7 linked regions of the Xenopus tropicalis genome follow. The protein of the gene in region 1 interacts with the protein of each later gene in a pairwise test. Links are inferred from orthologs where the notes say so. Each region holds a gene or a part of one and is shown in the gene's direction. Other genes may lie near its edges.

Evidence for each region.
Region 2: the proteins of htt (region 1) and ctnnb1 interact in binary tests that used the Homo sapiens proteins (3 or more experiments, as listed by UniProt). The link is inferred for Xenopus tropicalis from reciprocal best matches to the Homo sapiens genes HTT and CTNNB1.
Region 3: the proteins of htt (region 1) and pfn2 interact in binary tests that used the Homo sapiens proteins (3 or more experiments, as listed by UniProt). The link is inferred for Xenopus tropicalis from reciprocal best matches to the Homo sapiens genes HTT and PFN2.
Region 4: the proteins of htt (region 1) and hoxc11 interact in binary tests that used the Homo sapiens proteins (3 or more experiments, as listed by UniProt). The link is inferred for Xenopus tropicalis from reciprocal best matches to the Homo sapiens genes HTT and HOXC11.
Region 5: the proteins of htt (region 1) and ing5 interact in binary tests that used the Homo sapiens proteins (3 or more experiments, as listed by UniProt). The link is inferred for Xenopus tropicalis from reciprocal best matches to the Homo sapiens genes HTT and ING5.
Region 6: the proteins of htt (region 1) and mtus1 interact in binary tests that used the Homo sapiens proteins (3 or more experiments, as listed by UniProt). The link is inferred for Xenopus tropicalis from reciprocal best matches to the Homo sapiens genes HTT and MTUS1.
Region 7: the proteins of htt (region 1) and golph3l interact in binary tests that used the Homo sapiens proteins (3 or more experiments, as listed by UniProt). The link is inferred for Xenopus tropicalis from reciprocal best matches to the Homo sapiens genes HTT and GOLPH3L.

What each region holds. Positions count from the first base shown.
Region 1 is NC_030677.2:22,812,396-22,815,895, forward strand, and holds part of htt (huntingtin), read left to right. Parts: intron 1-802; coding exon 803-1,016; intron 1,017-1,705; coding exon 1,706-1,811; intron 1,812-2,815; coding exon 2,816-2,978; intron 2,979-3,500.
Region 2 is NC_030682.2:53,356,609-53,360,594, forward strand, and holds the start of ctnnb1 (catenin beta-1), read left to right. Parts: upstream 1-1,186; 5' UTR 1,187-1,246; intron 1,247-3,986. UniProt on the Homo sapiens protein: Key downstream component of the canonical Wnt signaling pathway.
Region 3 is NC_030681.2:118,629,756-118,633,255, forward strand, and holds part of pfn2 (profilin-2), read left to right. Parts: intron 1-1,780; coding exon 1,781-1,973; intron 1,974-3,450; coding exon 3,451-3,500. UniProt on the Homo sapiens protein: Binds to actin and affects the structure of the cytoskeleton. At high concentrations, profilin prevents the polymerization of actin, whereas it enhances it at low concentrations. By binding to PIP2, it inhibits the formation of IP3 and DG.
Region 4 is NC_030678.2:146,120,995-146,125,021, reverse strand, and holds the start of hoxc11 (homeobox protein Hox-C11), read left to right. Parts: upstream 1-1,227; 5' UTR 1,228-1,557; coding exon 1,558-2,254; coding exon of another isoform or gene 2,255-2,258; intron 2,259-3,588; coding exon 3,589-3,821; 3' UTR 3,822-4,027. UniProt on the Homo sapiens protein: Sequence-specific transcription factor which is part of a developmental regulatory system that provides cells with specific positional identities on the anterior-posterior axis. Binds to a promoter element of the lactase-phlorizin hydrolase gene.
Region 5 is NC_030681.2:125,710,127-125,713,626, reverse strand, and holds part of ing5 (inhibitor of growth protein 5), read left to right. Parts: intron 1-217; coding exon 218-384; intron 385-495; coding exon 496-607; intron 608-1,488; coding exon 1,489-1,576; intron 1,577-2,375; coding exon 2,376-2,511; intron 2,512-3,168; coding exon 3,169-3,230; intron 3,231-3,500. UniProt on the Homo sapiens protein: Component of the HBO1 complex, which specifically mediates acetylation of histone H3 at 'Lys-14' (H3K14ac) and, to a lower extent, acetylation of histone H4. Component of the MOZ/MORF complex which has a histone H3 acetyltransferase activity.
Region 6 is NC_030677.2:42,519,879-42,523,378, reverse strand, and holds part of mtus1 (microtubule-associated tumor suppressor 1), read left to right. Parts: intron 1-1,555; coding exon 1,556-1,764; intron 1,765-3,500. UniProt on the Homo sapiens protein: Cooperates with AGTR2 to inhibit ERK2 activation and cell proliferation. May be required for AGTR2 cell surface expression. Together with PTPN6, induces UBE2V2 expression upon angiotensin-II stimulation.
Region 7 is NC_030684.2:127,040,923-127,045,169, forward strand, and holds the start of golph3l (Golgi phosphoprotein 3-like), read left to right. Parts: upstream 1-1,447; 5' UTR 1,448-1,523; intron 1,524-2,803; exon of another isoform or gene 2,804-2,891; coding exon of another isoform or gene 2,892-2,938; intron 2,939-3,663; coding exon of another isoform or gene 3,664-3,664; coding exon 3,665-3,832; intron 3,833-4,247. UniProt on the Homo sapiens protein: Phosphatidylinositol-4-phosphate-binding protein that may antagonize the action of GOLPH3 which is required for the process of vesicle budding at the Golgi and anterograde transport to the plasma membrane.

The sequences.
Region 1 (3,500 bases):
TATTCATATTACAGTCTCTCATTCAAACCACTGCCTGGTTGCTAGGATAGAACCCTAGCAACCATATAGGTGCCGCAATATCAAAGTAAAGAGCTTCTGAACAGAAGGTTAAATAACCGAAATACCACAAAAAATGAAGACCAATTGCAAATTATCTCAGAATATCCGTCTGTTATACTAAAAGTTAATTAAAACAACTCCTTCAAGGACATAAAGGGTTAACTGATGACATCATTTCCATTTGACCTTAAATAGCATGGCAGATTGGTTCCATCTCCCCATACCTGCGTTGTCTCTTCAGACTTGGCTCATACTGGTTTGTCCCTTTCCTCTAACAGGAGGGGGGCCTGTGCTCCCATTGCAGAAGCCCATCAGTGCACTACAGATAGGATTAAACATCGTTTGATTATTAAAAATTCTCTATCTATTTCGCTTCATTAGAGGTCAGGCAAAGATGCAGGTGAATGTAATGCAGATCCGTTTTCAAAATCCAATTATAAATGCAATTCATTCTAACCTACTTACAAACCCTTTGTGCCTGACTTCCATCATATGAAGGGCAGGATTCCAGATTCTAATCACTTTTACTCTAAGCAGCTTTACTTTGTATTCCTCCATTTATTAATTGGCTTCTCGCTACTTTCAGGTTCTGGTCGGCACCAATGGTCACATCCATATGTTAGCAATGGCAGCCTTGCCTGGAACATACCCTGTATATGTGTGCCGATCAGCAAATAATCCTCCCTTTTGTGCCAATCCAGTAGAGCAGTAGATAATTTTTTTCATGTCTTGCTTTGCCCAGATGTGCGGCGTGATGGTCTCTGGGAGTGAAGAGTCTACGCCCTCCATGGTGTACCACTGTGTCATGCGAGGATTGGAGCGCCTCCTACTGTCGGAGCAGCTGTCCCGGCTGGATGGGGAAGCGCTAGTGAAACTGAGTGTGGACAGAGTGAATATGCACAGCCCTCACCGGGCAATGACGGCACTAGGACTGATGCTCACCTGCATGTACACAGGTGGGGGTTGGCTCTGACCGCGTATGTCTTTAGGCAGAGCATGTGTGTTGTGATTGGGTGTGTGTCTGTGTATGTGTAGGGAAGGATATACAGAATAAATGTGCTGATTTAGAAGAGCAGAGTGCACAAGCGTAGTCCGTTCCTGGATAAATTCCTAGAATCGGTAGCGTGAGAGGATATTTGGAATAAACAAAGTAAAGCACATTTACATTTGTTGTGCATGCCTACAGAGCAATGCATATATATATATATTAGCCAGTGGCTTCCCATACCAACTGTATTAAGCACAGTATCCGTGCAACTGGCTTAACTTTAGAACCCTGCCTACCTGTGCTTCTTTCTGTATAGAGCAGGTCTGGGATTCAAAATAGTCCCTGGCATTCCAAGTACCCAGAGGCCCAAATGCCCCCCAGCAGCCCAATAAATAGTGAGTGTCTGTGGCATCTTACAGCAGCCCCTCTGGCATTTGCCAGAACTCACAGATTGCCAGTCCAGGCCTGATATAGAGATCATTCCTGTATCACTGCTATTCCAAGGGAACGGATACATGGTACATACTTGCTCTTTCTGCTCATTCACCCCCCACAAAGCTTTATTATAATTGGGACCTATGCCTTATTCATTAAGCGCTGATAAAAGCCAAACTGAAATGTGATGATAACAGTAGGGAGTTACTTTTGTCTCTGCAGGAAAAGAGAAAATCAGCCCAGGCCGCGCCACAGAGCCCAGTCCTGCAGCTCCAGACAGCGAGTCTGTCATTGTAGCCATGGAGAGAGTCTCTGTGCTGTTTGACAGGTAATAAAGGAGCAAAGCCATGTTGTTTTACCTTTCTGCACACTCCCTCTGTTCCTATAGAGAAAAAAAAGAAAAATGTATTTATTTAGTTTTTAAAAAAAAAAAAAGTCCCCCAGCCTGAGCCGGGAATGCGGGCACTACTGTGCCACCCATTGTGGGTTTTCTCTGGGTAATTGTCCTTCTGTGGGTTTCCTCTTATAATTCAAAAACATACCGGCAGGTTAACTGGCTTCTGAGTCCCTGCCTCCATCTCTCCCAGGGCCCCTGCCTCCATCTCTCCCACGACCTACCTATATCTCTCCCAGGGCCCTTGCCTCCATCTCTCCCAGGGCCCCTGCCTCCATCTCTCCCACGACCTACCTATATCTCTCCCAGGGCCCTTGCCTCCATCTCTCCCAGGGCCCCTGCCTCCATCTCTCCCACGACCTACCTATATCTCTCCCAGGGCCCTTGCCTCCATCTCTCCCAGGACGCCTGCCTCCATCTCTCCCAGGGCCCCTGCCTCCATCTCTCCCAGGGCCCCTGCCTCCATCTCTCCCAGGACGCCTGCCTCCATCTCTCCCAGGGCCCCTGCCTCCATCTCTCCCAGGACGCCTGCCTCCATCTCTCCCAGGGCCCCTGCCTCCATCTCTCCCAGGACGCCTGCCTCCATCTCTCCCAGGGCCCCTGCCTCCATCTTTCCCAGGGCTCATGCCCACACCTCTCCCAGGGCGCCTGCCTCCATCTCTCCCAGGGCTCATGCCCACACCTCTCTCGGGGTGCCTGCCTCCATCTCTCCCAGTGCATGTAACTAGTACAGAGAACTGAGACTGAACTCTGCTCTCTCCCTCAGTGGAATTGCATGAGATGTAATTGAATTGTAACTCTGATTACTGTGCTGATCCCAGTTGGAGCAGAGGGAGAGGTATAGAATGTCTATCACCCGTGGTTCATTAATCTGCTGTCACTGAGGAGAGCTGCGCTGCACTCTCTCACCTGTCTCTCTCTGTCTCTGCTCATTACAGGATAAGGAAAGGATTCCCCTTTGAAGCCCGGGTGGTAGCGAGGATCCTTCCACAGTTTTTAGATGATTTCTTCCCCCCACAAGACGTGATGAACAAGGTCATCGGGGAGTTTTTATCCAACCAGCAGCCCTACCCACAGTTCATGGCGACGGTTGTTTACAAGGTACATGTGAGCAGAACTACTGACAATCTCCCAGCAGTCATTGCTCCTGTGTATATTTGTGTATATGGCAGAGTAGACTTTACACTCAGAATACATTTGGGAATGGAAACCATGAGCTTCACTCCCAGTCACCGCTTCTGCTTCACTCACCTTGGAGAATCCTAAACAGAAGGAATCATATTTTAATCATATTGAATGATTCTGATTCAGCAGTCTGTCCCTTTATTATTCATTAAAGGGATTGTTCACCTTTGAGTTAACTTTTAGTATGATGTAGAGAGAGGTTTTAATTTTTTATTACTTGTGTTTTTTTAATTATTGCACTTTTTTGTTCAGCAACTTCATTTTGTAATTTTAACAGCTATCTGGTTGCTAGGGTCCAAATTACCTTAGTAACCAGGCAGTGTTTTGAGTGAGAACCCGGAATATAAAAAGGAGAGGGACTGAATAGAAAGATAAGTGATACAAAGTAACAATAAAACTGGAGCCTCACAGAGCAATGGTTTTGGGCTGCCGGGGTCA
Region 2 (3,986 bases), on another chromosome or scaffold:
AGGGCAAGTGTTATAAAGGAAACCACTGGCAATACTGTATGGCTTTGACCATTAAGTTGGAAAAAATACATCATTCATGGACTGTCCAGTCTACTATTCTGCTGCTGTTTAAATACAATCAATCTTGTGTAAACAGAAAGGTGGAAGTTGCAGTTCATCTTCAGCTGGAGTGCACAAGGTTTCACATCCCTGACAGATACACTAAAAATATCTCATAAACGTTTACACAATACACTTTGTCCATTCTGCTTTTATCTCTTATCTGCCCAGACGTGCCCTGTGACTTTGGAGGGGGCAGGGCAAATGTACCCTCTCCTCTAAGCTTTGGTTTAATATTGAGCTCTGTTGCAGCACTTCAATCGTGCAGGACTCGTGTTACAATTCCAACGAAAGAGTTAATACTTCCCCCTCCTTTCTTTGTCTCCAACTCTGCCCTCATCGGGCTCCACATTCCAAGCCTAGGAGGAAAAAAAACAGCTCCGGCCGCATTTCCTACTGAGGATCATTCCGCGTTTAAGTCCTCCAATCCGCACAATGAGCAGGAATGAATCTCATCTCCGCCCAAACTGTTCGTCGCTTCCAAAACCTGACACAAAAACTTTTTAATGCTTAATTCAGTAACACCCATGCCTGTGACAATTGCCACTATATCGCCATTAACTAACTTACGCTTCCGTACATACACAAACCATTAACAGTTGGGTGGCGAATTGCATCTTTAGGTTTACAAGAAACATTTATGCACCAGCTCTACTCGAACGTATCTGCATATTTCATGCGGAGCATATGATAGTATTACAATTGCCCTTTTAGTATTTTCCGCAGCTCTGTATACAACAACCTAGGGAGGGCATTTGCTTTGGGGAAGAACTATTTTTTATATTTCCTTCTGAATCACTCCGCCCACGCCCCGTTTATGAGACCTTTTCCTGCCGCCGAAGCCCGCGGAAGGATATTCACACGCGTATGTAATGCGACCCATATAAAACAAGGGTGTGCGGCGCCATTTTAAGCCTGTGTGTCGCGTTTCAAGCGAACGGGAGAGTAGTGCGTTTGTTCATGGCTGGGAACTGAAGGGGATCAGAAACATAAACGGGGAAAAGAAAATCAACGCTCTTGCCGCCATACCCCGTCCATCTTAAAGTGGGACACAATTCGGAACCTGCAGGGTCTGGAGGTGTGTAGGAGACGGCCAGTACCGGGCGAAACGCGGTGACGGCCGGAACCGGTGGACGTCGAGCCAACGGTAAGATACTGCAAATGTCTTTTTATTTTTTTTGTAGCTTCGGTGTCGCTATCGATTGTTACCGTACCTAGGAAGCTGCTTGGGGAGTGGTGGCATTTGTGGTTATGCAACAGCTGGGGAGCCACATGATGGAGGTTAACGTGGTCGGATCTGTTTGACTTGACTTGGCAGTGTGGTTAGTGCGTTTTTTTTATCTTTTAAGGATTGTGGGCAGGTACTGTACATGTCTGCGGTGTGGAACTTGCGGCCGCCTGGCCTCGTTGGGTAGAGCATTGTTTGGAGTTAAGGATCAGAAACAGGGCCGGAAGTTGGTTGTGTGTGTGTGCCTTTGTACTTGTCCCATAACTGTACTGCATAGTATTGTTGGTGTGTAGGGGGGTACCATACAGTCCTATTTAAGGAATCCCAATAGATACGTATCTAAACTACCCTTTCCATCTGCTTGTTGGCACCTTGTTTAAAAGCCGTCTTTGTGCGTCAGCGGGCTGGCCCTCTTTCCTTTGATTCTAGAACTTTTATAATGTGTGTTTTGGCATGGAGTGATGTGCTGAGTGCTTGCAGGTTCTACTGCTTTTGAGATGTGAGAACTAATGTGCAGGAATGGAGAATTCTATCCAGTGTATCAGATTCACGATGCGGGACATGTATAAATCCATACGTTGTTTTAGGGCAGCTTTGGGAATGTGTATATATTCCCCCTCCCTGAAACTCTCCCCTGTGTACTTAGTGTTTCAGTGATGGAGCTGTGAAATATGAGCCACTCTTGCAACTTTTTTTTTTCTATTCACTCCCTGTCTTGGCCTAGGGTGAGGCTCAGTCAAGCCAGGATATTCATCGCCCTTCCGCTTAGAATTAGTGTTTCCAGTGTTTTGTTGCAGCAGTAAGCTATAGTCATGGGCCCTACTATCCTATCGTTCCAGCTAATGTGTACAAGGTTTGGCTTCCTGTAAGAAACCTTGTACGTATTTGGGTTTAGATTTTAACTTGTGGGTGCCAAAACTTGTGATTTAATGCTAAGTTAAATGATCTATATTATAAATTAAGCAAATGTTACTGAAGTACAAACAATTGCCGCTTCCCATGGAGTAGGTAATGTGAGAGTAGCTCACTTGTGCCTTTCAGTGTGCAAATATGCAAACAAACACCCTCAAGCTGAAAAGTGTTTGTGGTGGAGCTTGGAGAAATTCAGGTTAGTGGGAGGTGGCATTAGGTGCTTTTTACTGGGATGAAATCTGCTCATGTGCTATAGTATTGGCTAACATGGCTTTAGTTGAGGTTTTGTTACATATCAAGGCTAGTCTCCAGGACATGGATTTTTCTTTCCCCCAACTCCATCTCCACCCTCTCCTGTCCTGAAAGTATGCAGGGTAGTGAATAGATTAGACTAGTCAGGAATGTGATCTTAAGAGAAAATGTGGTGCAGAAATTCCAGGCACTTAACACATTTCTAGCTGTTTTGTGCTGGGGCACGGCTCTTATTTGACAACTAACTAGACTAAATATCAACTTTAATACAGCTATGGCTTCCGATAAAAGCCACCTTCTCATGTTAAGCTATGGCAGTGTTTTGATTGTTTCTCAGTTGCAGCAGTCTGCGCACAAGTGGTGGTTTTGTTCCACCAGCTGCAGTAGGAAGGAAGGGCCTGCTGGCAATTCATGCATTGGGGCATTTGTGGCTTCCTCTCCAGTTAACAGTACAAATGTTTAGTGCAAGTATTGTAGCCGATGTGGTAGGGCAAATATTTGTAACTAGCCCGTTTTGGCACTAATGCAACTGCATGTTCAGAATGGTAGAGGATTTGTTTCCTTAAACAGTTCAGTAGGTGGGCAGTGTGCACTTTGCTCCCTCACCTGCCTTTGACATGGGAAGTATGTTTCCTTGATCTTGCAACTATCTTGAAAACATGCTGTTGCCCATTGGGAAATGGCCAATTGGACATGGGGGGGTCTTTCTGTTCACTGCTGCAAGAATCAAAGGTCCTAGTCGGTGACCTGTGTGCATTTCGGGTCGTAAGTCTACTTCCCCAGACAGTATCTCATGGAATTAGTATGTTCTTAATGTGTAGCATTTTTTTCTTAAGTTTCTTCTATGCTCCCAAGACAGGAAGGTTAATTGGCTCCTCCCCAGAGTGGGTGTATGGTAGGAACCATAGATCATGCTTCATTGGGGCAGGGAATGTTACTGTATAAGCTCTCTAGATTGCCATAGAACATGTTGGCTCTATATAAAGCATAATAGTGGTTTGTAGCTGCTAACTGGCAAAGACAGACACTTCATTGTTAACTGTGCGAGCAGCACTATCTGGTGTTAATAGGCCTTATGGAACAGTGCTTGCCTTTGCAGTGTCCTGGGAAATGACCAGTACAACTAACTATACTTTCTGTGTGAGCAGCAAAGTACTTCTATAAAAGCTGCATTAGTTTCCTTGCCAGGAAGTAAAAGTGCAGCTACCACTAAACATCAAATTTAAATGAAGCACTGTGGCGTGTACTAGCTGCTTTAAATGTTGTCCTTTTAGTCAAACTCCTGCAAAAAACTAGCCTTTGAAGTGTTAGCATGCAAATTCAATCCATGTGTGTTTGGGAGGAGCAGGGGTCTTTGGTTTGTAGGTTTGCCTTACTGCGTCAATGGCATATTACTTTACTGTTTAAGTAGGTAACTTTGTTCCATGTAAACTTAACATTATTGAAGCGATAGATGGACTTTCCCATGGGGTTTAAGTATGCTGTCATGTGTGTA
Region 3 (3,500 bases), on another chromosome or scaffold:
AGGCTGATGCCAGTGTAGGGGCCGATCCTCTGCCTGCTTTATCCACAGGCCCGAGTCAGCTCCGTCTGTCATTAGCCTTACATAGTGTGCCAATGGATAGGATGTTGTAGAGAGTGGCAGTTTGTTATAACGTTGCTAGGGTCACTGATTCTGGTATCCACTTGTTTCTCTGCCTGCACCCAAAATCATCGCATCAGCTGAGTTGCAGGGGCACGGAGTGGATTTTGGCTCAGAATTGCATACTCGCATGTTCTGACTGAAATCCACTCAGTGTGCCTGCACCCCAGCTGATGTAGTGGCTCAGAGTGCAGGCACAGGGAAAGGCTGATGCCAGCGTAGGGGCTGATTCTTGGCCTGAGTTTATCTGCAGCACCGTCTGGCATTGGCCTAAATAGAAGTAATACAGATGTATAAATCATAACAATACAAATGAAGTTTAACAATCTGTCTCAGTCTGCAACTTAACCAGGCAGTATTTTACAGTGTGGGGAAAAGCAGTACAAGAATCTATGAAGAAAAACATTTTTTTTTCTCCTTGTATATATATTTACCCCATCTTCAGTTAATTTTAAAGTAAACGTTTCCACTGAACAAAGAGCAGAGTGTAACATCCTGGCTCAGATTGCAATGAAAGAGAACCACACACGTGGCGATTTTCGATCTTTCGTGCGACCATCGGTCGCATTAAAGATTGTTCCAACCCTCCACTGACATTCAGGGCTGAATCGTCTGATATGGAGGTAAAAACAATAGGATTTCTACCTCCTTCTGCCGATTAAGCCCTGAAGGCAAATTTTGCTCAGGCGCCTTCAATGGCGCCCGATCGGCGAGTCACAGCCTTCTGTGATATCGGTCGCCTCGTCGAGTTGCCATACACGCACCAAATATCGTACAAACGAGGTTTCACACAATATTATCGGTGCGTGTATGGCCAGCTTAAGTTCCACTTGCAGCCCAGTTACGGCCCAGTAATGGGTCCTTTGGCTGTGGGAGCTATAACACACGAGCAATGTTGTATAAATTACAAATGGCTTCTGGCAGCTCCAAGGTTATATTTTTTGTTTTTTTTCTTCAGTGTTATGGGGAGAACAGTGTAACCTTTATTATGCATTTGCTGATGTTAAATTTGTTGGTATTTTTTAGCAAGAGGGTGCTTTGTTCAAGCTTAGGGTTATATTTGAATGTTTTTCATCCTGCACATGTGGAAATGTGCAGTGAGCAAAGTAAAACTTTGAGTGCAATCGCCATGTTTTTTCCCACAGTGCAGTGCTTCCCCCCCCCCCCCCAGAATTCCTGCCTTTGCCTGGGTGAAATGCATGATTGCCCTTTTGCCAAGGATTGTTAGGACATATCCACTACTCATTTGAAACGCACGGACCAAAGAGAATCTATGGGCAGCTTCAATAATGTGGTTGTTTTTAAAGATAATTTTTAGTGTAGAAACTGAAACTGGGACCATATATTATTCATTCAAGTCTAAAGGGGTTTTGAGTTATGCTTTATGCTCCCTTTATGTTTAGCCCAAGTGCCCCCTTCTGCTTTAGACACTAAAGGCCTCTCTGCTCAGTTCTGTTGGTCATTGTGGCCATGCCCTGACAGTACAGCAGGGGGTGCTTGGGTTACACATTCCCAATATTTTTATGGTTGTGTCAAGGAAGTATATGTCCCATTGACAGAATCTAAACAATTACGTGTATTTATTATAGTAACTTATAGAATTTGTAGAAAATTGATGCAATCGTCAATAACAAACAAATGGCTTTGTACTTTGTTCCGGCAGCCTGCAGAAATTGATGTGCTCATAGGGAAGGACAGAGAAGGATTCTTTACTGGTGGCCTAACTGTGGGAGGAAAGAAATGCTCTGTTATAAGAGACAGCCTCTATATTGATAACGATTTCACAATGGACATCAGAACAAAGAGTCAAGGAGGAGAACCAACATACAATATTGCTGTAGGAAAAGCCGTAAGAGGTAAGGTCTTGTGGTGCCTTAGTGTGTGTGTATATTTGATTCTGTGTTGCTAAGCCTGGGTTTGCAGAAAGGATTTTGTTGGAGGTTGGACTGGACCTCTTTGAGTATAAAGGCCTCAATGTTATTTTATATTTTTCAAACAACAAGAAGTTACTGCACTTCTCATCCTGTGCATCAGGTTCCCTATTATGGTGCATAAACAAGATTGCCTTGATAATAGTGTACACAAAATGGCACAGCCTGCTTGCTGTTATTTTGAATTCCATGACTAAAGGGAACAACATTTAATAAATAATTTATATAACGTAAGTAAACTTTATTTTGCTCGACTAACATGATAAAAAAGGATTTGGAATTATTTCTTATGGGGACAGGTCCCCTATAACAAGAAGACCTGCTATCCCATCTGTAATTATAGCCAAGAGGAATACCTGCATCCAGGCAATATCTAAATATCCTTATTTCTATAAATATGTACATGTATTACACCAGATGGCTGTTTGTGGCTGGGAGACTTGCCCAGCATGGTTAAGGCTACAGCACAGCCAACATGAGGAGCAGTTTTTAGTATTTGCTAGATTTATGTAACTGGGAAAAGGCTCTGTGGGGTTGCATGCTAAAATATTTGTGTTGTGGCTTTACATGCTGCCTAAGTTTTGGGGGGCATATTTAAGTAGAGGGGTAAACCACCTCTTCATCAGAAAGGATCTCCATAGTTCTCTGTTCCCATTTATTCTGCAGGGATTGTCTGTGACAATGCACAAAGTAGGTTTGGCACAACCCCTATTGATTGAACGCATGTTGTACAAGGGGATATACAGTCCCTTAAAACTGCAAGTTGGTGCAAAATATCTCCTGCAGTGAGTTTAGGATGTGGCCTACAAAGTTCAGTTGCCCTTTATTTCCAATCAAGATGGAGCAGTTTGATCATCAAAACAAATTCCTGTTCAGTATAATGAGCAATTCAATGTACAAGGGAATGGGCACACTGAGCGCTAGTACCCATATGAGGCAGGTGGTTTTGGCGGGGGACTGTAAATGTGCAGACTATTTTCATACATGACAGTTTTTTAGTTTAGCTGGAATCTTAAACACAAAGCACCATGGGATGTTTACATGTGTAACTATGTTGTTTCACTTGTAAAGAAAAGGGCAAATTGTACGTTATTTTCCTTTCCTGGACATTATCCAAATCAGCACACACTGGGATATCCCATGCCCTGAAGGACCCTCACCAAAGCTTTAAAAGCCAGCTACTCTGTATGGCACGTTGGCCAGGCATGTGGATTCAGCCCCATCCACCTAAAAAACAAAACAAAACAAAAAAAAAAACAAATCTTGACCGAATCACAGGACAAATATATATGTATATATATATATATATATAATTAAATATAATATATTTATGTGTATAATATACAACATTCTGATTGCTGAGCACAATCTCATTGTATCTTTTTCTTTTTTTCTTTTTCAGTCTTGGTTTTTGCAATGGGCAAGGAAGGCGTCCACGGAGGCGGCTTGAAT
Region 4 (4,027 bases), on another chromosome or scaffold:
TTGCACTGGGCACCCCAATAATGATTGTTTTGTGATAAAAAGTCCATTTGTGCTTACTGTCTTTATAGAATTTGGGCCTGTGTGGCTTACTCTCCAGCGCATCTATATGGTATGTGAGTGTCTGTATCTATCTATCTATCTATCTATCTATCTATCTATCTATCTATCTATCTATCTATCTATCTATCATCTATCTATCTGTCACCTAGACACATATAGTGCTAATCAGGCGATCGTAGTTGGTAACTGAGAATTGTATACCGTAGCAAAGTATATGGCGGAAATGTTCTTTATTTCACTAAATGGACTATGGAAACAAAGAAGATGGTCCGTTATGAGTTCGTGTATGGATCAAAGGGTCCTAATATGAAAGTGCCACAGGACAATGTAAATTAGAACAGAACATTACTCCAAACTGCATTTTTACGGATTACCAGGTACCTTATACATAGGAGCCATGCATATTGTAAAGCATTATAAGTACAGAGTTCCAGTGCGGACGTTGAACAAGAATCATATACAATTGATGGAATAAAATAATTCTGCTAAGCAGGATTCCATGCCAAAATGAATAAGTGCAACGGTGGAAATATATTTACATTCCCATTCCCGACTTATACTTGATGTGAGATTTTTAACATTTCTCATGTAAAATAGTTTTCCGGGACCCTTGGTTGTTCTCTTGCTGTGATTATAAAAATATGGGTAATAGAAATAAGAGAAGCAGATCTAGTTTCATCTTAGGTGCCTTCTGAAGTCTGAAGCCTTGATTTTGTCATGTTAAGCCTGGCTTATCTTAAGGTCCATACCTCCACGGCGTTGAACTTGATTTATTTCAGGGCTGACATAAAAAATATCTACAAGAAGGCAATTAGTTATTGCAAGGAGTCTGTTAATTACTTTCTTTCTAAGAATGTCCCCCTGTACGTAGCATGAATAGTACACAGATGTAATGGCTCTATACTTAAGCTGGATTTTACAAATGTTTGAAGACTTAGTGACCCCAAAACCTGCATTGCCCCTAGCAATTGTATTTGATCTCTCCAGTAAAGATTTGCAGTGTGTGCCCCTCAAAGTTGACGCATTAGGTGGGAAAATGAGAGTCAACTTATTTCTAGTGAGTGCAAATCCCCCTGACAGGGGGGGTGAAATCTAGAAAGCAGAGACCAAATTGCAAACTTCAAAAGCCCCCCCCCACCCCCTTACTCCCTCCCAGCCACCCCTTGAAATGATCCTTACACTGCTTTTTCTTCTCAATGCTCACAAGGGGAGTGCCTAAAAGAGAGAAAAAAATGAATACAAATCTGCAATTGATTTTCATAATGTTTCTGCGGTGTTTGAAAACCAATCGTTTTTGAACCTCTCTCAGATCTTACCTAAGTGAACCCTCCTACGCATCTAAGTGCTCCGGACTGATATATGGCAATATCTACTGGGGCATCACGTGTTCCTGGGGAGAGACTAAGACGGACAGCGCGTCATCCAGCCATCCCAAATTTTTCCCCCTCTGCAGATCGCCTCCAAAACATCTATCTATAGAGCCAGAAAGGGAGAAAGATGTTTAACTCGGTTAACCTGAGCAACTTTTGTTCGCAATCGCGCAAAGAGAGGAGTGCTGAATTTGGAGACCGGACAGGCTGCGCTTCCAACCTGTACCTCCCCAGCTGCACCTACTATGTCCCTGAATTCTCTACTGTCTCCTCTTTCCTGCCCCAGGCCCCTTCTCGGCAGATCTCCTACCCTTATTCCACCAACCTTTCCCAGCCAGTGCGGGAGGTATCCTATGGGCTAGACCCCTCCAGTAAATGGCACCCTAGGAGCAACTACGCCTCCTGCTACCCTGCAGCTGAGGATCTGATGCACAGAGAGTGCCTCCCTCCTTCTTCTAGCATGACCGAAATGCTAATGAAAAACGAAAGCGTGTACAGCCATCACCACCACCACCACCATCACCACCATCCCACCTCCAACCACCCCTCAACGGGCTTCTACTCCAGTATGAGCAAAAACAGTGTGCTGCCCCAAGGATTTGATCGCTTCTTTGACAATGCTTACTGTGGGACAGAGAGCCAGGGAGAGGACTGTGTGCCCAAGAGCGATGCCAAGATGGACAGTGACCCCCAAACCAGCGCTCTGTCATCCGGAGCTGAGCAGGGACTAGACCCGGAAGACGAAGAGGAAAATACAAACCCGGGCTCGTCAGCCTCATCCTCTTCTGTCACCAATAAGGAAGGGAGCAAGAGCAGCAATTCCAGTAGGTATAGAGCTTTGCCCAGTATCCCAGGCAGCAGCAGTGCATGGGGGAGGTTAGGGGGCTAGTGCGGTGTTTTGTCGGTCACGTTTTATGTGGAGTTTTATAAGCATTCAAAGGATTTTATTAAACCTACAAAAGCTCTTTATTCCAACGAGAGACGTTTTACGATGGGAAAGCTCTTTGGAGGAGAAGAGGGAAGCACTGAGAGTCAGTGGAGTCACAAACAAACAAGGAGATTTCATTCAAATCCTTGCTCTTCTTTCTTTCTTTCTTTTTTAGGGGGAGGGGGTTGCAGATGGCAGCCCCCATGGCAAATATTCACTTTGATCATGAACTTCTAGGGGCATTTTAACGGGGTTTTTGCTTCTGGGCTGTGGAAGTGAAAGGCACTTGGATAGAACATAACCTTGGCTTCTTGTTCATGCAATTTAATGTGCTGCTTCTTGCTTTTTCTTTCAAAACAAAGTCATGCAGATCATTTTTATTCGGGGTTTAATAGGCTTTTAAAACACACTGGGAAATATATATATATATATATATATATACGTGTGTATGTTTATATGTGGTGTGTGTAATTGCATGTGTTTAAATTGGCAAGGGAAACAAACATACCCGCATTGTGAATGTCATTTGTACTCTTGTATTCTTCATCAAAACATGTTTATCTTGTGATTTCATTCATTTCTTTCGAGAGCCAATATTTATGCACGATGCAAACACAATGTTATTTGCCTCTATTGGTCTGCATGATCTTAAAAACAATTTTTTTACCCCTTTACGGATTTTGCCCTGTTTGGTCCTTAATATATTCTGTGCTTGCAGTAAAGTACATGGAGGCTTACACACGTGTTGTGATGCAATTTCTGCATAGGGATAAAGGCAAATGCACTCACTCCTTGTGTATATTTGCAAAATTAAAGCCTCATAGGGGTGAAACTGTGCCCAATGAAAGAGGGATGTCCATAAATATCCAAATGCTATTGTGCATTTGGATATATTTGAGTATAGTATAAAGACAAAATGAGATTTAGACAGACAGATAGTAGACAAAGAGATGGATAGCTAGACTACTGACATGCTCAATATTCACTGATATTGTCATACACTGTCGTGCGAGTGAATGGAGTAAAATACAAGGTTTTTGACTATATTTAATTACACAGATTTTCAATGAGAGGCATACATTATGCCTCAAAACATCTGCTTCTGTACATTTTAGTAGGTACTATATGCCCTTCAGAATCTTAGCCAGATAATAAATACACAGGGCATGTATCAGGAAGCCGAAACGTAATGCAGTTTTAGAATTTAAGCTCTGTTTTTATCATTTCAAGGTGCTCCTCGTACAAGAAAGAAGAGGTGTCCCTACTCTAAGTTCCAGATCCGAGAATTGGAGAGGGAGTTTTTCTTCAATGTGTATATTAACAAAGAGAAGAGGCTTCAGTTGTCCAGAATGCTGAATCTCACTGACCGCCAGGTTAAAATTTGGTTTCAGAACAGAAGAATGAAAGAAAAAAAACTTAGCAGGGACCGACTGCAGTACTTTTCCGGGAACCCATTGCTGTGAACTTAATTTTTTTTTTTTTTTGGTGTAAAAATCATGCACTGTACTTGTGGAGAGTGGATCTTACAGCATGGCTTGTCCTCTGAGTCCTCAATCATGCTCAGAGTCTGAGCTTTCTCTCTTCCATGTTTCTATATGAACATTACCAGGTAACTGAGGTACCTTTTGCCAGGAGCACTTGGTGTAATTGAAACAATTTACAGACAGAT
Region 5 (3,500 bases), on another chromosome or scaffold:
TACTGCTCTGCCATTCTTTACAAGTACATTGCTGGCAATTCAGTAGTAGGCCAGACTGGGATTCACACCAAAAATGATGCAGGTGGGGTAGAACATTACTTTCACCAGACTCCTCTTATAGTATCTTTGTGTATTGAAACCATGTAATGGGCCAAAGGTTATTGGGAGGTTTAAGTTGCCTATTAACTATAGCTGTACCTTTTGCTTTTTTTAATAGATAAGAAGAAGGAGATTGATGCTTTAGCAAGCGAATATATTGCTAAGGTGCGGGACTACACCCCTGAGCAGAGAGTACAGCACCTTCAAAAAATTCAGTCTGCCTATAGCAAATGCAAAGAGTACAGTGATGATAAAGTGCAACTGGCCATGCAGACCTACGAAATGGTGAGCAGCAGTTTAATGAATCCATAAATAACAAATGCCATGCATGACTTTAATAATGTCATTTTTGTGTGTAGAAATTATTATTTTGAAATATATTTGTCTGTCTAATAGGTCGATAAACATATACGAAGGCTGGATGCTGATCTGGCCCGCTTTGAGGCTGATCTTAAAGAAAAACTGGAAGGGTCAGAGTTTGATAGTCCTGCAGGACGTGGAGTAAAGAGTGAGTTACAAAATGTTGTGTATAAAAAATCTCGCTAATCTTTTCCTTCAACATTTAAAAATCCCTGCAAGAAGACCCACTCTTGCTCATTCCTCCTTCTCCCTTTACATGGTGCACTATGAATAGAGGTCCACAGAAATACTCACAAGTGGGAGAATACTGTGGCTTCCTAGCATATTTATTTCTTACCAGTGACAGGCACATCCAATGAACCAAGTATATTGATCCAAGTATATTGTATTCTGTTTAATGCGCCCCATAACGACAATGCATGTCTAACCAAACCTTATAAATGTGTTATTTATATTGTACATCGCCACCACCCAATACGTTCCACTCCCTGTATCAGATGCTCTGCCTGCTTGCGTGTTTGGCTGGCAGCTGCCACTTCTATGTTCTTACTGAGCCGGAGTTAATAACACTGCGTGAGCGCAGCAGCACATGCCCCTGTGTGCAATTAACTTGTGTGCCAAACTTTACCTACATGTGAAAGGACTGTCTGAAGGTCAAAAGCTAAGGATTGCCTGAAATGTTACGCGCGTCACATCGGTTCTGTGCTGATCCCTTAATGGTGCAGCGGCGCGTCCCATAATGGTGCAACGCTATGGTGCGTATGATGCCTTGCGCGTGCGTCTGCAAGCCCGTCCACGGGGGGGGGGGGGGATTGCACGCAAGGAGCGCATTGCATCTGCGAATCCATAGGCAACTACCGTATATACTTGAGTATAAGCCGAGGGTTACTTTTTAAGCACATTTTTAGTGCTCAAAAACTCGGCTTATATTCGACTATATACGGTACTCTGGAAGATAAATAGCAGTACATCAAAATTGGAGAAACAAAATTATTCATCCTAAAAAAACATAACTTTTTTGTTTTAAAGAGAATAGAGGTCAAAAAGAAAAACGAGGGTCAAGAGGACGCAGAGTATCTGAAGAGGACACTGTAAAGAAAAAGAAAATGAAAGGAGGGTGAGGAATTGTATCAGTTTGTTACTGTTCTAGTAACAGCGTAGACTATGTGAGACCTCTTATAGTTTCCAGGTTGAATGCCACATACACAATTTTTTTTTGCACCCTTATCAAGCAGCTGTGGCTTTAAACAAAACATTTACATAGTAACTTCCACGTTAATTGTCCAAAATATTACATTTTTCAAAAAGGAATAGATTGTGTAATATCAATAGGGCCACCAAACTGTCCTGAATAAGGGCTAAAAAGTGGTATCTTCAACTGCTGCTCCCTTATTTTTTAATGTGACTGCAAGAGCTGTGGATTTAATGGGTGTTTAAATGCAAGGGTACAGCTGTGTAAGTGTGTGAGTTAGGCTGCTGACCACTTTAAAGGTGAAGTACATTTAACATTTTTATGTTTTAGAATTTCCCATCCATAGCAATTGTTCAATTGCTGCTCATTTTTATATATTTTTTAAGTTTGCCTTCCCCTTGTGTGTCCAGCTCTCAAAAGGGGGTCACTGACCCCAGCAGTCAACTATTGCCCTTTGAGGCTGCAATTATAATGTTACATTTAGGCCTTCTCCTTTTCATGTTTCAGTCTCTCATTCCAGCCATTGCCTGGTTGTTACTGTAAATAGATTGGACCTTGGTAGCCAAATATCTGCTGACAAAAAGCTAAATAATTCAGAAACCATGCAAAAAATGAAGAATAAATTGTCTCAGAATACATTTATAGTTTTTTTAATCTGAAGCTGTTTAATGGGTAATTTACATGACCTAACTCGCTGGCTTGCTGATATATTTGTATTTGCCAGGCCTGTATATGCTGATTCAGTCCTGTCTGTGACCCCTTCGGATGTCTTGGATATGCCAGTGGATCCCAATGAACCCACATACTGCCTTTGCCACCAGGTGTCCTATGGGGAAATGATTGGTTGTGACAATCCAGATGTAAGTAATAAGTTCAGAATATTGTATGGATACATCAGTGTCCTTGCCTGGAAGTGTGTACTGTATGATTGGATTTAGAGAATAATTCAAATCCAAAATGCAATATTTTGTCTATATTCTTAAAAATTAGCAATAGATTGTTCAGCAGTTTCAGCTGATCTGCCTTGCTACAATCTGAGGATTTATTCTGTAGTGTCTTCACTTTTGCAATAGGATAACATTCTCAGAAATAAATTTCTACACTTATTCAAGAAAAGTGCAAGTGGAAATACAGGTTACATCAATGTTTTAGCCTCAGGTTTAAAACTATACCAGCATAACTACTAGAAACTAAGGTAAATTAATGTTTCAACTGGTTGGAATGGAAAAAGTAAACCTTTCAGAATAGGTTTCTGCTTTGTTTAATAAAGACCTAAGGGCATGAGAGTTGCTACAGCTTACTGATTTTATTGCACATTGTATTCTTTTCTCCTTTATTTTTGCGGTTTCTTAAGACAGTCTAATGATTATGTAAAGTGAATGTGTTATAGCCAAAGCTTATATTGCATGTAAAAGCAAGGCGGTTAGAAGTACAGTTCTATTATCTAGGAAATAGGGTGTATGTTTTTTTCCAAGGCACCTAAATGTGTAATTACTTCCTAAATTATTTGCCCACAGTGTCCAATTGAATGGTTCCATTTTGCCTGTGTGGATCTGACCACTAAACCTAAAGGGAAATGGTAAGTATCTATTGTATCAACTGAATTTTTGTTAAAAATAGGAATGCACTGAATCCAGAATTTTTGGATTCTGATGAATGCTAAATCCTCTGCAAAAGTGGAGGAATCTGAACTATAATTTGCATATTTTAATGGAGAAAAATAGAAAATGACACCTGTGAACAAAGTTTGTAGCCATCAATTACCAAGAGTTTTAATGTCATATTAGAATGATGATAAGGGTTTCAGTTTTGTTCTGCTGAAGCTCTGAATCCTTAACTGAATCCTGAA
Region 6 (3,500 bases), about 20 Mb from region 1:
ATCCACAGTCCTAGTAATTTCTATAAAGTTTAGAAATTATCATATCTAATTTATAGATATGAATTTGTGATTAGTGTCTCTGAAGCAGATTTAAAAAAAAATCCTTGTGTGTCAGATGGAAATTCCTAGCTTTTATTTATTTTCAGGGTGGCCTCCTTCATGGCTATAGACTTGATCCGGTTTCATGATAAAGATGAGCTTTGACCAAAGATAAAGCGTCCTTGTATAAATATGTAGGTGTGTGCATTATATTCTGTATTTGTAGTAAGAGTTTATATTGCCTGCAAGGAAAAAAATTATGGCAGCTTTTATCAGCAGTGAGGTCTCAATGATACCAATATTTTCCTCCATCCTTCACTCCCAGCAGTTTTTGTGCAATTCTCTTGCTGAGAAATGCCCATGTAACCCAAACCTAAGCAGCTACTAGCTTTAATACTGTGCTCTGCTATGCCAAGTTGCTGGCAAATATCTGAGGTGTTTGTAGTGTGACCAAACCCAAATCTATTCCTTTTGTAACAGAATATAATCAAGTGGAATTTTTAGTGCAAAATCTATCTGTGGTAACCTGCTGTACAAGAAAGACATGTCATATATTTATGTAACACAAAACTTTAAGAAATACTGTTCTTGTAATTGAATGTTTAGTTTTGTCTGCAAACAGTATGAAATATTGTATAACTTAGTGCTTTGGAAACAGAGGTTTTCTTTTCCTGCTATCTTATATCTAAATGGCTCATAAACATCTACACTGCTGGTTTGAATGCATGTAGCCTGTGTTACAGTGAGAGTTAAGGCAAAGACAGATGAGGCAAATAGCCACCACAATTTTTAAAATCCAGATGCAGCGACTAATCGCCACAGCTAACCGTAATGGCGACTTGTACCATGTGGTTGTGATGGGTTTTTTTAAAAAAATCAGTCTGTCTTTGCCCTTAAGGTGCATTGGTGAAGAGATAACTATATAAATAAATTAAATCTGAACCTCTAAATTAACAAAGAACAAGAGCAGCCGTTCTGCCAGAGTGTTTAGTAGCTTGCTGTCTGGCAACAGAATATCCAGAATCCCTTCCAATCTTAATGCCAATCTCCTGGACGTGTGCAGTGCCCTCACCATTGAGATTGTGGCCATTTAAAAATTTGGAAGTGTTTAAGTGCGAGTGCATGAAATTGCTATTGAGATGAATGGGAAGTTATTCCGGCGGTTTAATTCTTGCTGACAAAGCTATTAAACACTCAAACAAATTCCTGGAATCCAGCAAATTCCTGGAATCCCTGGATGTGGCAATGCCTTAAAGCCTGTGAAATGCATGGCATGTACTCTTATGGCATCCACCTGCCTGTCCACTTTGGCACATTTAGCCCCGAATATGTATGCTGTTCCTGACCAAATGTACTGAGCAGGGTGCTAACTTGGAGCAGATTTGTGGGTTTTTTTCCCCAATGGTGGAGAAAATGGCCATGTGACATGGACCGTAATTTTGTATACGAAAGTAAACGTTTATATAAAAGGGGAACTTAGGTGGTATATTTCAAAAGCTGATTTTTTTTTCTTTAGTCGAAAAAAATAAGCCGAAGACGAGCCCAAGAGGTCCAGTTATACAAGCACAGACACCTCCAGTTGATCCTAAATCAGCTGAACTAACCCACTGCAAAGCCGTGTGTGAGCAGCAGAAAGGGGTTATCGAGAACCTGAAAAATCTCCTCACCAGCAGTAACCAAAAGTTTGAGGCACTGACTGTGGTGGTCCAACAACTTATAATCCAGGTAGGTGCAATCTAAACAGTGGGACTTTGTTGATCACAATACCATTTTATAATAGTTGTTCTATTGTGAAGAAATGGATTCTGGGACCTGACATTCCTTCTGCTTTCCTGAGAATCTGTGCACATCCACTATGAAAATCAGAGGAACTTTAAGTCCCAGAATCCATCATAATGCAAGGGAGATGTTACATTACAAAGAGGTTTGGGAAATGGTTCATCAGAGTGGCATGGTTTCCTTTCCATTTGAGGAATAGGCTGTGTTTGTGCTATTTTGGTACTGTTATTTGGTTGAAGTAAAACTAGAACTAAAATGCATGCTTTGTTTTGAAGAGCAGGGAAGCTAGCCTACAATACATAAGGACACTTTAAGAGAAACTTTTTCTGAGGGAAGAAAATGGATACAAAAGAGAATATCAGATCTACTGAATTGTAAGCTGCAGATGCCAAAAATAGTTCCCCCTCCTCCTCTCCCCTGTGGCACTGCACTATACCAGGATTGTTTAAACAAACTGATTGCCAGCTTACATATTCTTCAAAGGGAATGTGAAAACCATTCTCATTGGTATTTTGTAGTGTTTAAAATGAAAAGGCTTAATCATTAAAATACTGCCGGTGCAGGAGAACAGACTAATTCTATTCTACAAATGTTAACAGTTCATGCAAAAAAAAAAGTACAAGTGCTGAAGGACCTTTGTGAAAATTACATAACTTAGCTGTTTTTACAGGAGGTCCAAGCATGTTTCCGCGCCATGGGCCCCACACAGCAAAATTACTAACTAAATGTGTGAGATCACAAGTTTCACACAATATAAACTTGAATGTGCAGGTATAGTAGGGAGAGATGGTGCCTATAGTAGCAGTTGGGGGGGGGATAATAGCCTCTGGGAAAGGACTGTGGCTGTGGGATAGCAGGTATAGTTGGGAGAGATGGTGCCTATAGCAGCAGTGGGGGGATAATAGCCTCTGGGAAGGGACTATGGCTGTGGGATAGCAGGTATAGTAGGGAGAGATGGTGCCTATAGTAGCAGTGGGGGGATAATAGCCTCTGGGAAGGGACTGTGGGATAGCAGGTATAGTAGGGAGAGATGGTGCCTATAGTAGCAGTGGGATAATAGCCCCTGGGAAGGGGCTGTGGGATAGGAGGTATAGTAGGGAGAGATGGTGCCTATAGTAGCAGTGGGATAATAGCCTCTGGGAAGCGACTGTGGCTGTGGGATAGCAGGGAGAGAATTTTATTAAAATATATTAAACAAATACAATAAAAATATAATTACATTTCAATCAAGCAAAAAATACATATAAATCAATATTGCATCAAAAAAAAACAAAGCGTACCTCCCTCCAAAGCATCTTATTTCTTACAGATGGTTATAAAACACATATCAGGAGGCATCTTTGTTTCTTATTTTGAGACTTGTCCAAAGTTTTCCCAGCAGACCTTTTAACCTGTATTCGCACACCTGCCCCCTGACTCTCCATCACACTTTCGTCGGGGCAGGCTCTATAAGCATGGCCGGATTGCATACACAGGTTGCACTTTATTGCCTTTACACACTCCTTGCTTGGGTGCCCAGTCTCCCCACACAAAGCACGTTTCTGTATGTTACACTTTACAGCATAATGCCTGTTGGACCCACATTTATAGCATAGCCTGGGCTGACCCACATAGAAACAGACACCCCTTGCTTTCCCAATGAAAAAAGAATTTGGGAGATGCCTCTGAACATTCTGATCCAC
Region 7 (4,247 bases), on another chromosome or scaffold:
AACCCCACTGTCCAAGTGAAAAACAGACAGATGGCAACCCAAATGGTTTAACTGACTTGCTTAGCTGAAGTGCAAAAGGCTACAAAAGAGAGGCTGCAACATTACCCATAGTGTTATAGACACTAAAATGGTTATTTACCCAGACCATGGATGCAATTAGCAGAGCAAAATCTCACCCTTAGTGATGAAGCACTTGTGTTGTGGCTCTTGCTGCACTTTGCACCCTGCGCATCGGGTTTGGTCATAGGTTTTTGTGGTTTGCTGATGCAGGTATGGGTTGCACGTCACTGTTCTCAATATAAGCTAATCTTCTGATGATGTCTATTTCTGTTTGTGATTATGTCGCTTCTAGTTTCATTAAGGCCAGCGGGTTGTACTTTGGGTTAGGGGTCAGACTGGGTAGCAGGTACAAGTGCGTAAAGATACGTTTGTAAGTATAAGTCCTGGGTTTCACAAAAATGGTTTTACAGAAATCTTTTTATTTTGGGCAGTTTTAGCAGGGTTATATACTACCAAGTGGAGATCACTCCAGCCGCGTCGTCAGTGCAGAAGTCACCTCAGCCTCACTTCCAGTCTGATCACTGTAAAGGAGTGCCGGCTCTTACAAAGACTATTTGCTAATATATAAACTAAACTGCGCCTCCAAGCACTGTATCATTAAATGTCCAGCCTTAATTGTTTGCTATTAAATATATGTAAAAAGGCAGATATATTATTGCTGGATACATTCTGACTTCTCTAGTCCTTAGTCACAGGTACAGTGGGGAAAAATGGCAAATAAATCTAACAATAAATTATGGACTAAAATATAATTTTTTGAAGAGGTGTCTATATTTCTGCCTTTTTTACTCTCAAGCATCATTTATACCGGCCAGTCTGGTAAAATAGCGGCCAGATGGCAACCCTAGATGGGGTGCTGACAGAACACTTACTGATTAAAGGACCTGAAGAAGAGCACACTTCTGATCCAGTGTCCAACACACATTATAATTATTTAATAAAAGTATTAATTATGCAAAAAGAGATCCCCTGTAACCATGGAAATAATGCACAGACGTATGCCAGAAGTTCCCTATTACTATTGCTTGTTTACAAGCTTTATCTACCCTCTTGCTATACTGTTATATTCATTTCCGCCATGACTTCCAGGCGACTTCGGAAGCTAAGGAATCCTCCCTCATAAAAACATGGTTGACGGCGAAAAGCCGCTCTATCATCACATCTCGATGGCTGGGAGGATCAGCCAAGCCTACGCTGTAGCGTTCGCCAATTCCCATTGGTCAAGCGCGCCTGTCAAACCAACAATCTCACCTCTGACCAAGCTTGCATGACGTGCGCAAGGGGGCGGGGAGAGGCGCGCCGGAGTGACCTGTGTGACACAAAGGGAAAGACGTGATTGGTAAGGAATAATGCCTGTCAGAAGGAGACAGCCAGGGAGGTTAGATTGCTCTGGGCTGATCAAAGCTGATGTGTCCGACTTCAGGAAGTGAAGTTTCTCAGCGGCTCAAGTGAGAGGAAAACAGGTGAGAAATGTTTGGGGCTGCGTCCCTTTCGTGCGTCTTTATTAATATATATTTATCTATAGTTTTTGTTCTGTCTATTTCCCGGGTTCCTCATTTGCTCGGGCTTCAATCCCCGGAGTAAATACTAACACGGCTAGCCCAACTTCCTCCTGGGTCATTTGTCTAAAATGATGCTTCTTGCCAACTTTCCGGGAATATGTGAAGCTGGATATAATGCATTGAATAGAATAGCATAGAATAGCTAAGTGTAGGGTTGCCCTGGGCCCCTTGTATCTCGGGGGGGCCCTTGTATCTCTGGGCCCCCCCCTTGTGTCTCTTAGGGCCCCCCCCTTGTATCTCTTAGGGCCCCCCCCCTTGTATCTCTTAGGGCCCCCCCCCTTGTATCTCTTAGGGCCCCCCCCTTGTATCTCTTAGGGCCCCCCCCTTGTATCTCTTAGGGCCCCCCCCTTGTGTCTCTTAGGGCCCCCCCTTGTGTCTCTTAGGGCCCCCCCTTGTATCTCTTAGGGCCCCCCCCTTGTATCTCTTAGGGCCCCCCCTTGTATCTCTTAGGGCCCCCCTTGTATCTCTTAGGGCCTCCCCTTGTATCTCTTAGGGCCCCCCCTTGTATCGCTGGGCCCCCCCCTTGTATCGCTGGGCCCCCCCCTTGTATCTCTTAGGGCCCCCCCTTGTACCTCTTAGGGGCCCCCCCTTGTACCTCTTAGGGGCCCCCCCTTGTACCTCTTAGGGGCCCCCCCTTGTACCTCTTAGGGGCCCCCCCTTGTACCTCTTAGGGCCCCCCCCTTGTACCTCTTAGGGCCCCCCCCCTTGTACCTCTTAGGGCCCCCCCCCTTGTACCTCTTAGGGGCCCCCCTTGTACCTCTTAGGGCCCCCCTTGTACCTCTTGGGGCCCCCCTTGTATCAATCATGTATAAATGTCTAACAATTGTAATATGTTTCAGTACACAACAGCAGGAGGGGCACAGGTTGAGTTATATTATTCCCCCCCCCCCCTCAGTCTGCAGTGCCTGGGGCACATTATACCAACCAAGACCAAACTGCACTTTGGGCCCTGATAGTTTGCTGACTAGACTTCCTGGTTCTTTAATATCACTATTAAATGCCTGAAGCCATTTTGGTACCTTTCACGTGGGTGAAAGCACCTGCTCCCGGGGGGGTGGCTTTTGCATTGAGAGGTGTCCTGTGATAAGAGACCCGGTAGGGAGGAGGTCCATAGAATTTAAATTCTAAGTGGGCGGATAACATACAGGCACACATTGGAGGGCAGAAGTGCACAACGTTTGGGCATTGGCCCTTAAGGGTACGGACTGGACTAGACTAAATAGTGGGCTAGTGCTCTAAAGGTAGGATCTGAGTTTCTTATTGAAAGGAATGAGAGAAATTTCCCTACGGAGAAGCTCAGGGATAGAAATCCAGAGGTAAGGAGCTGCAAGATATATATTTTACCTGGGTCTGAACAGGTTCCCTGTTAGCAGAGAGCAGAGGACTCTAGCAGCAGATTGATTCCAGGGGAGAGAGGTGGCAGGCTGGAAGACCTGTTAGTAAGAAGGTGCAGTAGTTTATACAGGATAGGGTATGGGCATGAATTTGTCTTTTAGCAGTTACTTGGGAAAGAAAGGGGCATATCTTGGCAATATTGCAAAGGAAAAAATGGCAGGCTTTTGCAGTGGCATTACTATGATTTGAAAAGTATTGGGGTCAAAGATTTTTTTTATATATATGTAGACATTCTCAAACTTTGGAATGGGGCCAGAACAGTAGAAAAGGGTGGAGAAAACATTTGAACACCTAACATGAAGCAAATGGCTGTTTTGGATCTCTCCATAGAAGGGAAATCTCCCTAGACTTTCTGTTGCTCTTACAGAGATGTATAATATATCTTTGCCACACATAGTTGTATAAGAATGGTAAGCTGCAGTTATGTAAGCTTGCCTAATTGAAGGGGTGATCCAGTGAGCTTAATTCAAACATGGATATGTATATTTAGTTGGATTTTTTCTTAAACACAAATTTGGGCTTTTTTGGATATTTCAGAAATTCAGTTTAGTTAAATATTTGTTTTTGGCCTCCTGCATTTTTTACTTCACGCATGCTTTATTCTCCCATCCTTACTTCATGCTTGCTTTATTCCTTGTCATATTAGGATGACCACTTTAACTCGACGTGGTCGGCGCGCAGATGTGGGTCAGGAAAACAGGGTGGATTCAGAAGATTACATCAAAGACAAAGATGAGGAAGAATCCGCCGATTCTAAGGACATTCGTTTGACGCTTATGGAAGAAGTTTTGCTCCTAGGGCTCAAAGACAAGGAGGTAGGTCCAATGCTATATTTCCTTAATGCTACAAAGGATTGTTTAGTGAAAGCTAAGATTGTTCTAAAATGCAGGATTCTTCCGCATCATCTTCATACATGTGGCTTAAAGGAGAAGGAAAGGGTTTTACTCATTTTTTAGTATGTAATAGAGGGCTCCTGCCCCTACCTAAAGCTGAAATCATTTCTTCTAAAAATGCTCCTTTGCCCAGTACGGTCCTCCCGAAGTACACACTATTTCTCCTTGTCTGCGCCGCCATGTTTTAAACATGGCGCTCCACTAGCCTCCCCGCTTGCCTCTCCCCCCCAGCACCTGTCAGCTGTCACCGTTCCTCACCGCTCCTCTCCCCTCCCTGCGTCCTCTCATCCCTGCTCCTCTTCTCGCTTGCCTCTCTGCCCCAGCACCTGTCAGCCGA